Linked DNA regions of Schizosaccharomyces pombe. The main gene of each other region encodes a partner of the protein of the gene in region 2 in a complex. Each region holds a gene or a part of one and is shown on either strand. Other genes may lie near its edges. A codon is read from its position in the direction of its gene.

Region 1 (6,540 bases), 2.3 Mb from region 2:
TGTTGATTCAACAAACTGTAATTTAAATACTATGGAAGCTTTAGCAAGTGTTAACACAGCCCTTCAGTTTTTTTCCGCTTTGAATTATTCCGAATGTTTCTCAGAAAGCCAAATTTCACCTTTACATGCTACCGTGATATCGTCTTTGTCGGCAATCTTTATAAGGGACGATACGGAAAATGATCTGGTCACTGAACTTGTAGAAAAGTTGTTTCTATTCAAACAATATAATGCATGTATGCAATTAATAGGGTGGCTTAACTCTGACCCAATTGCAGTCTACTTGAAAGCACTTATTTATCTCAAATCGAAAGAAGCTGTTAAGGCTGTCCGATGTTTCAAGACTACTTCTCTAGTCCTTTACTCACATACTTCTCAATTCGCAGTTTTACGGGAGTTTCAAGAAATTGCTGAAAAATACCACCATCAGAACCTATTATCGTGTTATTACCTTCATCTATCAAAAAAGCTGTTCGAGGAGAGTGCATATATAGATGCATTAGAATTTTCTTTATTAGCAGATGCCTCGAAAGAGACTGACGACGAAGATTTGTCTATTGCAATTACCCATGAGACTTTAAAAACCGCTTGTGCAGCAGGAAAGTTTGACGCTGCTCACGTTGCATTGATGGTTTTATCCACTACGCCTTTGAAAAAGTCATGTTTACTAGACTTTGTAAATCAATTAACGAAACAAGGTAAAATAAATCAGCTTCTAAATTATTCAATGCCAACGTTAAGACAGGACGTCGACAATTTGCTTGAGCGAAAGGCCTTTCAAATGATTAACGTTGAATCACAACCATGCTGGTATAATATTTTGTTTAGTTGGCGGTATAAACATCAAAACTATCGAGACGCAGCAGCAATTATTTATGAAAAACTGAGCCGGTATATCTCTACTACAGAATTAATTGGAAAAAAGGAGAGAACTTTTATAATAGAACATTATTTGATTGTTTTGAACACTCTGGAGTTGCTTCCGAAAGAAGATACATGGATTCTTGTGACAGACATGTCCGTGGACAAGGAACCTGACCCTAACTTTCTTCCACAAAAATTACTTACTCTAGATGCAATTGTAGCAGAATATCACTTACAGTTGAAGGATGTCGCTGTTCAAGTTACAGCTGAAATGTCATCGGCCATGAATATCGATTTATAAAGGCAACAAAGAATTATTTACGCAGCTTAACCTTCTCATTTAGAAAAATCCAGAAAAAAAGCAATATGCTTGGCAGAGTTTTAGTAATTAAATCATCTTTAGTTTCATTGAGGCGATGGGTAGCCATAAATAACTAACTTCTTTCTATAAAATTAAATTCTGAATATAAATATACTTTCGATAGCATTGGTATTTACATATCTTTAACGAATTATAATTCCGACCTTTTTGCTGCAGCTTGCCGCAGTTTGCTAATTAGTGTTGTCCGTTGGGAAATATTGTTGAGATACGGCTAGTATCGGCAGAATGTTGGAACCAACAATAATTATATATTTGAATTTTTATTTCCTTATTTTATAACATTTTTTTGAAACTTTTGGTTTCAGATTAAATAATTCTCTATTAATAATAGTGTACGGAAATTGCACGCCGTGTGCCCGAATTTAAATTTGTCGGGTCCCGAAGGAATGTACAAAACACCAAGACCTGCGAAAACTGATTCTCAGTGAATTGGGTATATCGGTCTTGTAAAGATCTAATTAATGAACGTTTACCAATGTTATTGAACTGAAAATATCGTTATGAGGATTTTTACTCTTGGAAAAGGCCGAATTTCACGAGGGTATGCTCGGCAAGTTAACCCTTCATTATTTGCCAAGTACAGCTACTGTATTGCCAATAATCCTTGGTATTTCATTCTTGTGTTTACTCTTTTATCAATCACAGGTATATATTCGTCGTTGGTAGCGTATCAGCAATCCCTTTACGATCAATCATTAGCTAGATGGTCGGCTTGGTATGCCGAGAGCATCAATGCTGAAGCAAATGTTATTACGAAACAACTCTATCTTTTAGGAACGAACACATCAGTGTTTTCCGAAGACTATCTTTCAAACGCGTATCGTTGGGAAACAAGCTTCCATCAATATTTGGCGGAATACGGGTATCCTTGCATAAGAGATGAAAAATCCTGTGTAACTATTTCTCCAATACCAAAATATTATGGTAAGGTTGATCCTGTAGCTCAATATTCATATACTAAAGGGCTTCCTGAAAATGAGCGTGAAGTGAACAAGCTTAGGAATGATACAATAGCCGAAGGTTTTGACTCGCTTAGTGCTTTTGTGATTACTTACTTTTTAAAGCCTGAACAAGTCGATACTTTTCATGTTGTTTTAAAGAAATTTATTTCCGAAACTCCTAATCTATATGCAAGTTTACTTGATACATCCCCTACCACTGTCGTAGCACGTATTCCTGACCTTACTGTTATTTACAGATGGTACCTATGGGTTGGGTTTGGAGTCGGACTTTTTGCATATTTGTATTTGTCACTTGTGCGGTTGCATGATATTCGTGCTAAATTTGGTCTTACAGCGACTATATTTATTCAAAGCGGTACTGCCTACTTCTCTACCTGTTCTTTGCTGTATTTCTTTGAAAGAACGGGCCCCATATGTCCATGGCCTATGGCTTACTATATTATCATATTTATGGACATTGAAAACTCGTAAGTTTTTTTGCTATACTTCGTCATTATGTGAACGTTTTATTACTAACTTATCAGATTTCGACTTTTACGCGCAGTAATCGCTTCTCCTCAGACGAAGCGTGTTCCTTCTCGTATAATGGAAGGGTTTTCTAGTACTATTATTGCCTCCTTTTCATCCTTACTTAAGAAGTTATTGACTCTTTTTGTCTTGAGCTTCTTTGTTTATCCTCTGGTGCAGGAGTTTTGTTTGTTTCTTGCCTGTTCTTTCGTCGTTAGTTTTTTACTGCATGGAAGTTTTTTTCTAGCGGTCCTAAGTGTCGATATACGTCGTTTGGAGTTGCAAGATTTTTTAGATTCAAACTCTTCTAATCGAAACTCAAAATGGTGGGTTCCGTATCTAGAATACGTAAGATTCATGTGGTCTCCATGGATTATCGATAATCTTGGTACTGTTTCATTTCATATGTACGTTATTTATTTACAACTCCAATCCAGTACAGATATCAATGGGTCTTGGAGATTAGCATCTCCTAACATTCGCTTTCTCATTACGTTATATCATCGTTTAGGCCGTATTTTACGAGAACGAAAGTTATTTCCACTGATTACGACCGGTTGGTTTGGTGACCCCACTTTTTTAGAAGCATTAAAAGAGAAGACGATGGCGGAAAACCTTGTTATTGCTTTGTATCGACCAGTTATTCTTGACACTGTTAACCGTCGTGATTACACTAATGTCTACAACTCGTTTCATGACCGGAGAGTATGGAGATGGTCAACATTTTTCAGCATACTGTTCGCAATTGATTTTGCGGTTGGGTTGCTTGTTAAAGCACTTTTGCGAGGCTGGTCTGACCATGACGAGCTTTCAACCGATACAACATTACATGAGGAAAAATTCAGAATAGAACCCGTTCCTGTTCATCATCAGCTTGACATTTTAAAAATTGCTGTATCTGAAAACTATAAGACGTTTGCCTCCGTCGGGTTAGATAGGTGTCTTGTAGTTTGGGATTTACGTCAATGGTGTACAAAGCTTGTACTTTCAAAAGAACAAATGCCCAGGACGTTAAAAGCAATAGCTTTAGATCCTCAGGGAAACTACGTTTCGTTGTTCTCAAAGGATACTTTATTCATTCTGAATGTAGAATCTCCTTGCTTGATGCTTCAACATTCCTATCACTGTAAGCCAAATAGCAAATTAAACGTGTTCTGGATGCCGGGTACGCATAAAGATGATGAATGGAAAAACTTTGAGCTAGTGGTTGTTGAAAGCTCAGGCGAAATTCAGGTTTTTAGTCTGACTATTGAAATTGAAGGTGCAGATATAGCTTTGGTTGAAAAGTTTCAATTAAGTTCTCCGATTATTAAATCAATAAGTATCGTTTCACCCACGGCTAATAGAATTGCTTGTTTGACTGAATCCGGTGAAGTGACTGTATATTCTAAAAAAGGACCCGTCTGGTCCCCAAAGATTTTATCTCAAAACAAAAATTATCTAACAGAAACAAAAAAAGATATTTATGGAATTGCAATGGCGGACATTTTGTTTCTTGCTCGAGATAGTGGTGTCGACATGATTGACCTTAAAAACGATGAACTATTACATTCCTTTACACTGCCGCCGATAAAAGTAAACACTTTTTCAGTTGGCGTGAGTAACAGTCGATTTGTTAATGGACAGTTTAGAGTGTCATCAATATCGTTTTGTTTTACTCACGCTGTTACCGAAAAGGTTCTTTATTATTACTACGGTAATGAATGTAATGAGTCTTATATTATATTGAATAAATGGGATCAACAGCCAAATCTTGTGGACGTACACGATCCTGATAATTCGCTGGCTTGCTTGACCTTTGATGAACTACAAGAAAATATCCATGAAGTCGAAGATGCTAGTGAATGTGTAATGAGCTCAGATGGACTCTACATATTTGGCATGCGAAGAAAAAGTTCATCGGGGATTTGTCCAACAGCAGATGAGAAAAACGAAGATAATGGTTTTACTCTTCGTAACCGAAAGTTGCGAACTGGCCATTACAATTGGACGTCTTATGTACCCCTTCTAGATTCTTATATGCAAGACATGGAACACAAAAAAAATACGCATAGTGGTGGTGAAACCCAGGTATGGGAAGTTTGGATGTACTCTCAATCTGAAAAGAAGCACCGCTGCAAATCTTTAAAGATGTATAATTCTTTAATTATTGCAGACCCTGGACCTTCTCTTGCAGTCTCTGATAGATGCGTAGCCATTGTTCTAGGTAATTACGTTGCACTAGTCGGCTATGGAAGTGAAATCTTTCGTGATTTTTACCAAATCAGAAATTCCGATGAGATGGACAGAATTTTACGTCGCAAAAGAAAAAATTTACAGAGAAAAAGATCGGGGACCATCGGATGTTAAAATTAGTACTTCTTGTTTATTAGCCCTATGTTGATGTGCATATATATATGTATATATAGCTGCGATACCGTTTGCTAGCATGTCATGGTTGTCGGGATTGTTATAAGACCACTTTAGGGCTTATCATTCGTTCTTGAATAAGAAATATGTGCTTCCATTGTGTTTTAACTATTTAATATCTACCCAATTATTTTGTTAGCATTTGCAAGCCGGCCTTGCTAATGTCACGAGACACTTAACGTTTGTGGGAAGTTGCTGATTCTGTTAGTATTTTTAATAATTTATGAAATGTTTTTTTTTTCGTTCATAACTATTCTAACATGTGGATTAAAATTAAAGATGTTGTTTATAATTATTTTTTTTTTTATATTGTAAATTAGGAAGACAACAACACTAATTTTAATGTTCAGAAGTTTATGGTTTGTATCCATGAGGTTCATGCAACTAAACTAGGATGGATTTACTAAAAAATTTGTATTTGTTTTGTTTATAGTAGATTTTTCTTAATAAACTAATCCCAATGTTAAAGACAATTAGCCAAAATTCGTTTTGAATTTCTGGAACGCGTACCCACTTCTTAAAAGTTATCTTCCGCCTATTTTACCTCAACCTGTTTAATAACCACCTTAACGACTATTGTATGCTGCATACATACAGTTTATAATTAATTGTAACTAAAAATACCATGTCGTTTATAAGCAGATCAACAACGACCTTTCGGAGGAGCATATCTATGAAAGACTATGCGAGGGTTCGGTGGTACAGTAACAGCGGCAAATCGTTGATCGAAAATATTCTTTCATCCAAAATTGCAATCTCAAAAGTTTATACCCTTAAAAAAAGAATTGGACTTCCTGAAAGTTATCCAATGAAAGTTCTTGTTCAAGCACTGATCGATAAGACTGTTGTTCAAAACCCCCAATATTCTAACGAAAAACTCTGGTCAATAGGGAAAGTGTTTGGTGATTTCTATGTTCTTGAATACATTAAGTGCAAATACCCCAGGCTGCCGGAGGAAGCAGTTCATGGCATGCAAAATGGGTGGATGGGCTCAAAGGCTTTGAGTCAGTTAGCAACTATCTGGGGTCTTGAAGTACAGAGAAGAGAAGAAGGTTTACAAGAGTCATTTGGAAAAGTTTTAGCGAAGCGTGCTGACCCTGAAATGCTGAGGAAGCCTGGTGAAATTTACAAAGATGAGGCAGCGCGAAGAGCCATTTTAGCAATTTTGGGCGGAGTTTACCTACATCAAGTAAGAAATTTTTATCAGTGTTTACTAATGTTTTTACAGGGATTTAATGATACTAAAAAATTTATTAATGACCACATCTTATCTAAACAATTAGACCCAAGAACAATGTTACAATTGCAATGGCCTCGGCGTCAACTATCTCGTTTATGTAAAAGGCTTTCATTAAAGGAACCAGTCTATCGCATTATAGCCGAGACGGGAAGAAAAAGCAGAGAACCTGTTTTTGT
Region 2 (8,437 bases):
GCCTTGACACACACCACGCAACGTGTTACGGTTCTTGAACGGAATTGCGTACTTCGATGCAGAGCGCTATCGGGGGGATTGGGGATGGTAAATGGAAGAAATCAAAAACTTCTTTTGACGTCAACCCCTAAAACAGGGGACGGTGATTGGTGGTAACCACGGACCGGATAGGTATCGATATGCACATCAGGTGAGAAGTTTTTCCGAGGCCAACTCCGGCTCCATGGTATATAATAGAGGGTTGCGCGCTACTGTTGCAGTATCATACTTCCAAAGGTCGTATAGAACACACACACAAATTAGCAAAATGGGAATTCTCGATATTGTACCTACTGGTGTTATTACAGGTGACAACGTTTTAAAGTTGTTCACCTACGCTCGTGAGCACGGATTCGCCATCCCTGCCATTAACGTCACCTCCTCCTCCACTGCTATTGCTGCTCTTGAGGCTGCTCGTGAGGCTCGTTCCCCCATCATCTTGCAAACCTCCAACGGTGGTGCTCACTTCTTTGCTGGTAAGGAATCCTCCAACGAGGGCCAAAAGGCCTCCATTGCCGGTTCCATCGCCGCTGCCCACTACATCCGTTCCATCGCTCCTTTCTTCGGTGTCCCCGTCGTCATGCACTCTGACCACTGCGCCAAGAAGCTTCTCCCCTGGATGGACGGTATGTTCGAAGCCGATGAGGCCTACTTCAAGATTCACGGTGAGCCTCTTTTCTCTTCTCACATGCTTGACTTGTCCGAGGAGCCCAAGAAGGAGAACATTGCTCAAGTTAAGGAGTACTGCAAGCGTGCCGTTCCCATGAAGATCTGGATCGAGATGGAGATCGGTATCACTGGTGGTGAGGAAGACGGTGTCGACAACTCTCACGTCTCCCACACCGAGCTCTACACTCAACCCGAGGACATCTGGGATGTCTACCGTGAGCTCTCCTCCGTTACCCCTTACTTCTCCATTGCCGCCGCTTTCGGTAACGTCCACGGTGTCTACAAGCCCGGTAACGTCAAGCTCCAACCCGCTCTTTTGGGTCAACACCAAGCCTATGTTAAGGAGCAACTCAAGACCACCAACGACAAGCCCGTTTTCTTCGTCTTCCACGGTGGTTCCGGTTCCTCTGTCAACGAGTTCCGTACTGGTATCAAGTGCGGTGTCGTCAAGGTCAACATTGACACTGATACCCAATTCGCCTACGTCGAGGGTGTCCGTGACTATGTCTTGAAGTACAAGGACTACCTTATGACCCCCGTCGGTAACCCCGAGGGAGCTGACAAGCCCAACAAGAAGAAGTTCGACCCTCGTGTCTGGATCCATGAGGGTGAGAAGACCATGACCAAGCGTGTTCTTACCGCTCTTGAGGACTTCTACACTGTCAACACTCTCTAAATTTGTGGTTTTTGAAAGATGGAAATGATTGAATAGACGGTGGGCTTCATTAAAATTATATTTTTTTGTCCCCTTAATGAGAGTTCATACTGTTTTGAAATTACGTGTTTGAATATAGAGACATTGTTTTTTAAAATTACCATTGTAAAAGCATAAGAGATATTTGAAGTAAAGTAGGGCAAAGTAAGTTAAGAAATTTTTTTGGATTGGATTTGTAAAGTGTTTTTCAAGCATACTGTATATTGTTAAGATTTTTCTTTTTATCCTTTTATTCATCTTCCTTAATTGGTTAATGTGTTCTTAGGTATATAAATTTACAAAAAAAAAATTTCCGATTCCACATGACAATGAATGAATAAATAATATGTCCGTGCGTTTATTTGAATTTAATATATATCGTTTGGCAAATCTCGATGAGTAGCTTAAAACAACATAATCGCTTGAATTTCATGTGCTTTGTGTACACAGTGTGCATTGTTTAGTAGATCAACTTTTTCTTCTTTCATTGCAATGAGTACGGGCATTTTCCCTTTTCCTCCATATTTCACGAATCCATGTTTTTTTTAGATAACCCTTTCTCAATCAAAACTCAGCATGCTTCTTCAGACTTGACCACTTATATTGTCAGTACACTACTGCTCCTTAAAAGCTTACTCCAAGTCAAGACATCAAGGTTGGAGCAATCATTCTCTTCATGAGGTACTATGGCTGATTTTCTTGCTAGAGATTATCGCTCTCAAGGTGAGGCGGCGCATGAAATGCTGCCGACTTTCCTTATAGGAAAAATCTTGAGAGAACGCATAGTAGATTCTATTTACTGGAAAGAACAATGTTTTGGATTGAATGGTATGTGTTCTTCATTGACAGAAAAGGAAAGTGTTTTTACATATTAGAGTTCAAGTACGATTACTTTCCAAATCGATATTTTGAGTGATATAGCCTAAATGAACTTGATTTGGCAAGCAAAGAAACCAAGTATAGGTACTTGCTGTTTTAATCAGTCCTCAAACTGTTATTCCAAATTCACTGACTAATACATCTTAGCTTGTTCATTGGTGGATCGTGCAGTACGGCTTGAATATATAGGTGGTCAGTATGGAAATCAACGGCCCACCGAGTTTATCTGTTTGTTATACAAGCTTTTACAAATTGCACCTGAAAAAGAAATAATTCAACAGTACCTATCTATTCCTGAATTCAAGTATTTACGTGCCCTGGCTGCATTTTACGTTCGGCTTACATGGGATGATGTGGAAGTGCATCAAACGTTGGAACCGCTGTTAAGAGATTATCGGAAATTAAGAATTCGTACTAATTCTGAGATCCGATTAACATATCTGGATGAGGTTGTTGATGATTTGCTAAATGCCGAAGTAGTTTGCGATATTTCCCTGCCCCCATTGCGAAGTCGACTCCAACTTGAAGATTTGGACTTGCTTGAACCACTTTCATCTTCTTCAGACGAAGAAGATGATGATGAAGAACAAATTAGTAAATTGGAGAGCAATGAAGGTGCTGTAGATCGGAATATTTAAGGATAAGTAATATACAAAAAAAGAGTAAAGCGAAGCACGCATTTTGTGATGCGTCTACGATTTAACTTGGAATGACTCTACAAGGAAAAGTTATGGATTGAAATGGTTTTACACTTGAACTTATTAAAAAACAATTTATGAATAACAAACATCTAATCAAATAGATTTGTATATTAATATATATCGATTTCACATATTATCGCAAATACGCTATTTTTTCTTGTAAACAAATTTCGATAGACTTAGTTTACAGCACACTAAATATTTATAAAATGTCTTTGATACGCCACGGAATTTTTTTCACACCATACTTTAACGAATCACCCCATTCCGTCTATTTTCTTACGTTTCGTTAAAAACATGTCAGTCCACTTCTTTTTTGCTCACATATGAATTAACACGACTTTTCTCTTTCATCCATTACCATACTCGAGCAATCCTAACTTTGCTTATCGGGTGATCGATTTTAAATTTTTTTACTTATAGGACGTCCAGTAGCCTTTATAAGTTCATTGACAACAATTGGGTTGTTGCTGAGAGTTTGTTTACTGCGCTCGACTCTTGCTATAACCTAATCTTAAACGATTATCAAGCTGGATTTCCTTCTTGCTAAGAACATTATTTTATTTTACAACTCATTCAAGAAATTATTTTGCTATCTATCGCCTTGGATAGCTTTTAATGCGTCAAATTTTGGATAATTTGTAGCTCGATTAGAAAATTCGCTCAACATCCTATACAGTCACAGAGATAAAAAACCCTAAGAGTTAAATTCAATTTCTCTTTATTGTTGGATTTTTTAACTCGCTGTTAAATTCCGCTTGGTTCTAGCTGGAAATTTTGTTAAATATGCAAAGCTCAATTCCGTCAGTTTCCGTGTCGGTCGCTTCTCCTGCAATGGAAACTCCAACAAAAGCTTCGCCTGACAGCAAATCACCCAATTCAGTGGGTGCGATTCCTTCTTCATCCCCTTTGGCTTCATCGACAAAGGCTTCAACTTCTACTCCCTTTGTGGAGAATTGTTCCAATCTGTTGTGTGATTTGGCTAGCATTGTCGAGGACTCACCTCCAACCTTGACCAACACCTCGTTGTCTCCCCATTCGTTTTCCCTTTCTGATATGGAGTCATCAATGAGCAATTGGCTTAACCCTTTTGCGTTCGACAATACGATGAACTCGGCGCCTCCTCTGTTTACTTCGACCAACATGGGCTCCCCTAACTCGTTAGAAAACTCTACAAATCCTCTTCTCTCTAATTGCGGCTCTCCAAATTCATTTCAGAATGAGACCTTTACCGGCCCATCATTGAATGAGTTCGATGCCGATGATAAAATTCAGCGCCAAATGAAAATCCTTCACTCTGTTGATACAATCGATCCATCGACTGTTCAAAATTATCCTTCAGCTGATATGTCAAATCCAGAAGTCAAATTGAAAACCGAAGAAATTATTACACCCATGGACACCACTTGCAAGCCTGAACCTTCTGCCAAGAAAATAAAGTTGTCTCCTTCCTCGGAAGATTCTTGCTCAATTCCTGAAACATTACCTTTTTCGGCCCCCAAGTCTAGAGGCTCATTATCTCCTTCTGAAACCCCAGATTTTGTAGCCGGTCCTGGAGGAAAACCAAAGAAGACAGCTCATAACATGATTGAGAAGAGATACAGAACCAACTTGAACGACCGAATTTGTGAATTGCGTGATGCAGTTCCTTCACTTCGTGCTGCTGCTGCACTTCGTTGTGGTAATTCTCTGGACGATGAGGATTTGGGGGGTTTGACACCCGCTCGTAAGCTTAACAAGGGTACAATATTGGCAAAAGCAACTGAGTATATCAGACATTTGGAGGCCAAGAATAAGGAACTACAGAAGACTAACAAGCAGCTTTCAGATAGGCTGGCTTTCTACGAAGATCCTTCGATGGCTCCTCCTTCTAACGATACTCGAGCCGTTAACTCTGTTAATGTTGTTTCCTCATCTGACTATTCTGTTCACCAATCTTCTCGACCAAACCTAACCCAAAGAGCTTTTACTTCCCCAACCCTAAATACCATGGGCCGCACAGCACTAAATGGCATGGTTGGACTTGGTCTATTCAATTATTTTGGAAACGATTCTTCTCAATCTGTTTATGGTTTATTCGCTCTTCCACCTTTTCTTATGTCTCCATTCACAGGTACTGTTCTCTTTAACATGCTGAAAATTGGTGTTGTTTTACTCGGTTTATTCTATCTTTTGCACGATAACTCTCTTTTCAAAGGCTTCAAGGGTGAAAAGAAATCTAAAGTTAGTACCAGATCTTCCATGTCACCATCCTCAATCTTATTCCGAAAAACCGTATTCGAAAAGTATTGTTTATTGGACCATTCTACTTCGACTATTTCTCTATTTTTTGGATTACTGATCTTCACTCTTAAATCTGCTTATGGCTATTTGACTCATCGTTTGAGTGCTCTTTATACCTCCTCTGAGAATTGGGTTTATAGTGAGCAACAACTTGCTGAAGTTCGCAACATGGAAAAGCTTTTGGATGCCCAATTAATGGGTGGTGATGCTAAAGTTGACCGTTTGAGGCTCTTAATGGTATTTGCCAGTTCATTTTCTCTTCCTCCTTCAAGTCATACTTGTGCTTTACAAGCAATGTATTGCCAACTAATTTTTTCCAACACCTCTGTCCCATCCGCTATCGTTTCGAAGTGCGTTGCTTTCTTCTGGAATGCTGCAAAGAAACAACATAGCAAAAGTTCTGTACACGCGGAGTTACGTGAGCTTCCTGAGTGTACTGCTAACCTAATTGAAAACTCCCACGCTGACGACGTTTTCTCTCCGAATATGGTTGAGCGATTGTGGGTTCTAGCAAAGTGCACCCGTGACTCTGCTCAAATGTCAGATAGTATTATTAGCTCCTTATCTGATGTTTTGGTTTTATCTCCTCTAGAGGTGCTTGCCTCATGGTATGCCGCTGATTTGTTGGATGCCCTTTTGATGGAAAGTTTGAGCCGTAAAGTTGAGATATCCGAGATTGAGGAAATTATTTCCCTTTGTCCTAAGAACTCCTCTATTATTCGTCATGCTTTACTAGCTAAATTGGTTTTGTTCCCCGAGAATACAGCTGATTCTTTGAATGAAGTCCTTGCAGCATACAAGAACACTTTGGATTTATGCAGCCAAGATAAACGCAAGCAGTCAAGCGTGTTAAAGATCAACTTATCCAAGCTATTCACACTCCACTCATGCCTATCATTAGCACTCCAACGCCTTGGATACGGGGATGTTTCTAAACGTATGTATCAGGAAATCTTTGTACCTGATAGTGATGCAGACATTACACCTTTATCTTTTATTATTTCCTGGACCGCTTTGAACACTTTTGCTCCTATTTGCACATCTCCAAAGGAAAACGATGTCGTTGAAAAGATGGCCATGTACGTGCGGACGGCCATCGGAACTTTGAAAATTCAAGATTTGAAATTATCTCGTAAGTTAATCAACTCTTGCATAGATATTGGATCTCGCTTACAAGAAGATTTGGGTTATGTTTCATCAGCTTAAATTGTCGATTCTCGAGCTTTGAGAACAGTTAGTATACAACGCTCATCTATTGCAACTACCTTATTATTTTCCATGATTGTTATTTCATCAGTTATTTTGCGTATCATTTTTTAGTTTTAATTATTCTTTTAATAAATTACAGTTGTCGTCGGTAAGAGCAGTGATAAAAATATGCAATTAGAGTTATTTTGTTGTATCAAGCTAGCACAATTCACCATTTGAGTATATTTGGTGATTAAATAAAATGAATAGAGTACAATTTGAGGCATGCTAAGGTTCATCGAACTAACTATTTTTTTAAATAATGACACATTGGCAAGATTAAAAAATTGGATTCTTCTCTTGCAGTTAACTCTCTGCTGTTGATGAAGATGTGTTGAATCTTAGACTGCTGATATCCATTTTATACCAATTGTATAAAAAAAAGAATGTCAATTATTAATAAAATGGAAATGCATAAGATAGATAAGAGTGGTCTGAAGTTTTACGGTACAGTACGTAGTTCCGTCCTTACTGAAATCTCGGGAGTAATACGAACCATTCACCAAAGGTAAACAAACTACCAAATTGTTTTTATGTATTATTTACTACTATATTGGTTAACTTATTCTGAATCCTACAACCTAAAATAAAAATAAATAGACTCGCTTTTATTATTTGTCGATTCAAGAACTTAGCTCTCCTTTGAAGATGAACAAACATTTTGCAAAGCTTTCACAATGGACCGGTGAAAAATTTGGTTTTGATCGTCAGAAGACTACATTATCTGATGATTTTTGTTCCTTGAAAGGTGAAACGGATGCCTGGCTTGTGGGAATGGATAAAATTCATAGAAGTTGCACAAGATGGGTACGGAATATGGATAAACGAAAGGGCCTGCTCGACGAGAAAGATAAGCAATTACCTGTTACTCACGTTGGATCGTCTTTTGTAGAGTTAGGGCAAGCATTATCGCATTCTTCAAGCAATTCGCACACTTATATCATGTACGGAAAAAGCATGGTTGAAATAGGGCACCTACAGGAGGAGTTTATGGATTATTTGAACAATTCTTTTTTGGCAAATCTAGAAAATTCTTTAGCCGAGTTTAAGGCTTTAGATGTGAAGGAAAAGAAGATGGAAAATCGACGACTTGTCTTTGACGCGCTTTCTACAAAAATACAGAAGGCCAAAAAAGAAGAGTCAAAGCTTGAAGAAGATTTACGGAATGCTCGCGCAAAATACGAGGAGTCTCTGGAAGAGTTTGAAGACAGAATGGTTCAATTGAAAGAATTAGAGGTAAGTATTATCGTCCTAATGACATTCGTTACCAATTTGATGCCATAATTAAACGATTATTAGGCCTGCCTAACTTATCTTATATGACTCAATATTTTTGTTAACTAATTTTTAGCCTGATCGTGTCGAAAACGTTGTACGACTCCTACAGATGCAAATACGATTTCATCAAAAAAGTCTCGATTTGTTAAAGGGACTTGAGATGAACGGATTTTCCAAGAAGAGGGATAACGTTAATATTCCAAAGCGTACTTATTCCGCAAGATCTATTCCATCGAATATTTCTTCAACAAATGTTGCAACAACGCCCTCGAATACCATTTTTGAAATGGATGATACTTTAAAGGCCGATAGTTCTTCAAATGAATATCATTCTCCCACCAATACACTCCCTTCTTACCATACAGAAGCTGACCTGGACAATTCTTCCATAGCTTCTTCAAATAGAACACAGCATACTGAAGATAATTATAACAAGGATGTTTCGGATGCTCAAAATTCATTGGGGCAGTCTGCTGTAGATTTAACAACTCCCTCATCACCTCCAATCCCCCGTCATACCAAACCCAAACTGTCTACGACTCAAAGTACCCCAGTCAAACCGGCATCGTTACAAAGTGAGGAGGATATCCAGTTAAGTTTTAAACAACCGGAATTATCTGCTTCGTCGGCAGAATTGGATGAAAAG

Evidence for each region. The genes of interacting proteins can lie anywhere in the genome.
Region 1: the proteins of sre1 (region 2) and scp1 are in contact, whole or in part, in a cryo-EM structure (PDB 5GRS), measured with the Schizosaccharomyces pombe proteins. Residues at the interface, in NP_595694.1 of Schizosaccharomyces pombe: Glu855 (codon at 6,331), Met859 (codon at 6,343), Arg862 (codon at 6,352), Gly887 (codon at 6,427), Ser888 (codon at 6,430), Arg889 (codon at 6,433); in NP_596673.1 of Schizosaccharomyces pombe: Leu596 (codon at 3,589), Asp597 (codon at 3,592), Leu615 (codon at 3,646), Arg617 (codon at 3,652), Leu642 (codon at 3,727), Lys643 (codon at 3,730), Asn683 (codon at 3,850).

The regions. Positions count from the first base shown.
Region 1 is NC_003423.3:4,009,982-4,016,521, reverse strand, and holds scp1 (Sre1 cleavage-activating protein Scap Scp1), read left to right. Parts: upstream 1-1,637; 5' UTR 1,638-1,746; coding exon 1,747-2,675; intron 2,676-2,732; coding exon 2,733-5,064; 3' UTR 5,065-5,374; downstream 5,375-6,540. Other genes in the region: nucleoporin, WD repeat Nup120, read left to right, coding at 1-1,165; mrpl3 (mitochondrial 54S ribosomal protein mL44), read left to right, coding at 5,750-6,313, 6,353-6,540. UniProt on the Schizosaccharomyces pombe protein: Escort protein required for sre1 processing at low sterol as well as oxygen levels.
Region 2 is NC_003423.3:1,688,060-1,696,496, forward strand, and holds sre1 (transcription factor Sre1), read left to right. Parts: upstream 1-3,334; 5' UTR 3,335-3,768; coding exon 3,769-6,471; 3' UTR 6,472-6,632; downstream 6,633-8,437. Other genes in the region: fructose-bisphosphate aldolase Fba1, read left to right, coding at 308-1,384; U4/U5/U6 small nuclear ribonucleoprotein complex subunit PRP38, read left to right, coding at 2,089-2,230, 2,429-2,919; SPOM_SPBC19C2.10 (BAR adaptor protein ), read left to right, coding at 7,162-7,749, 7,865-8,437.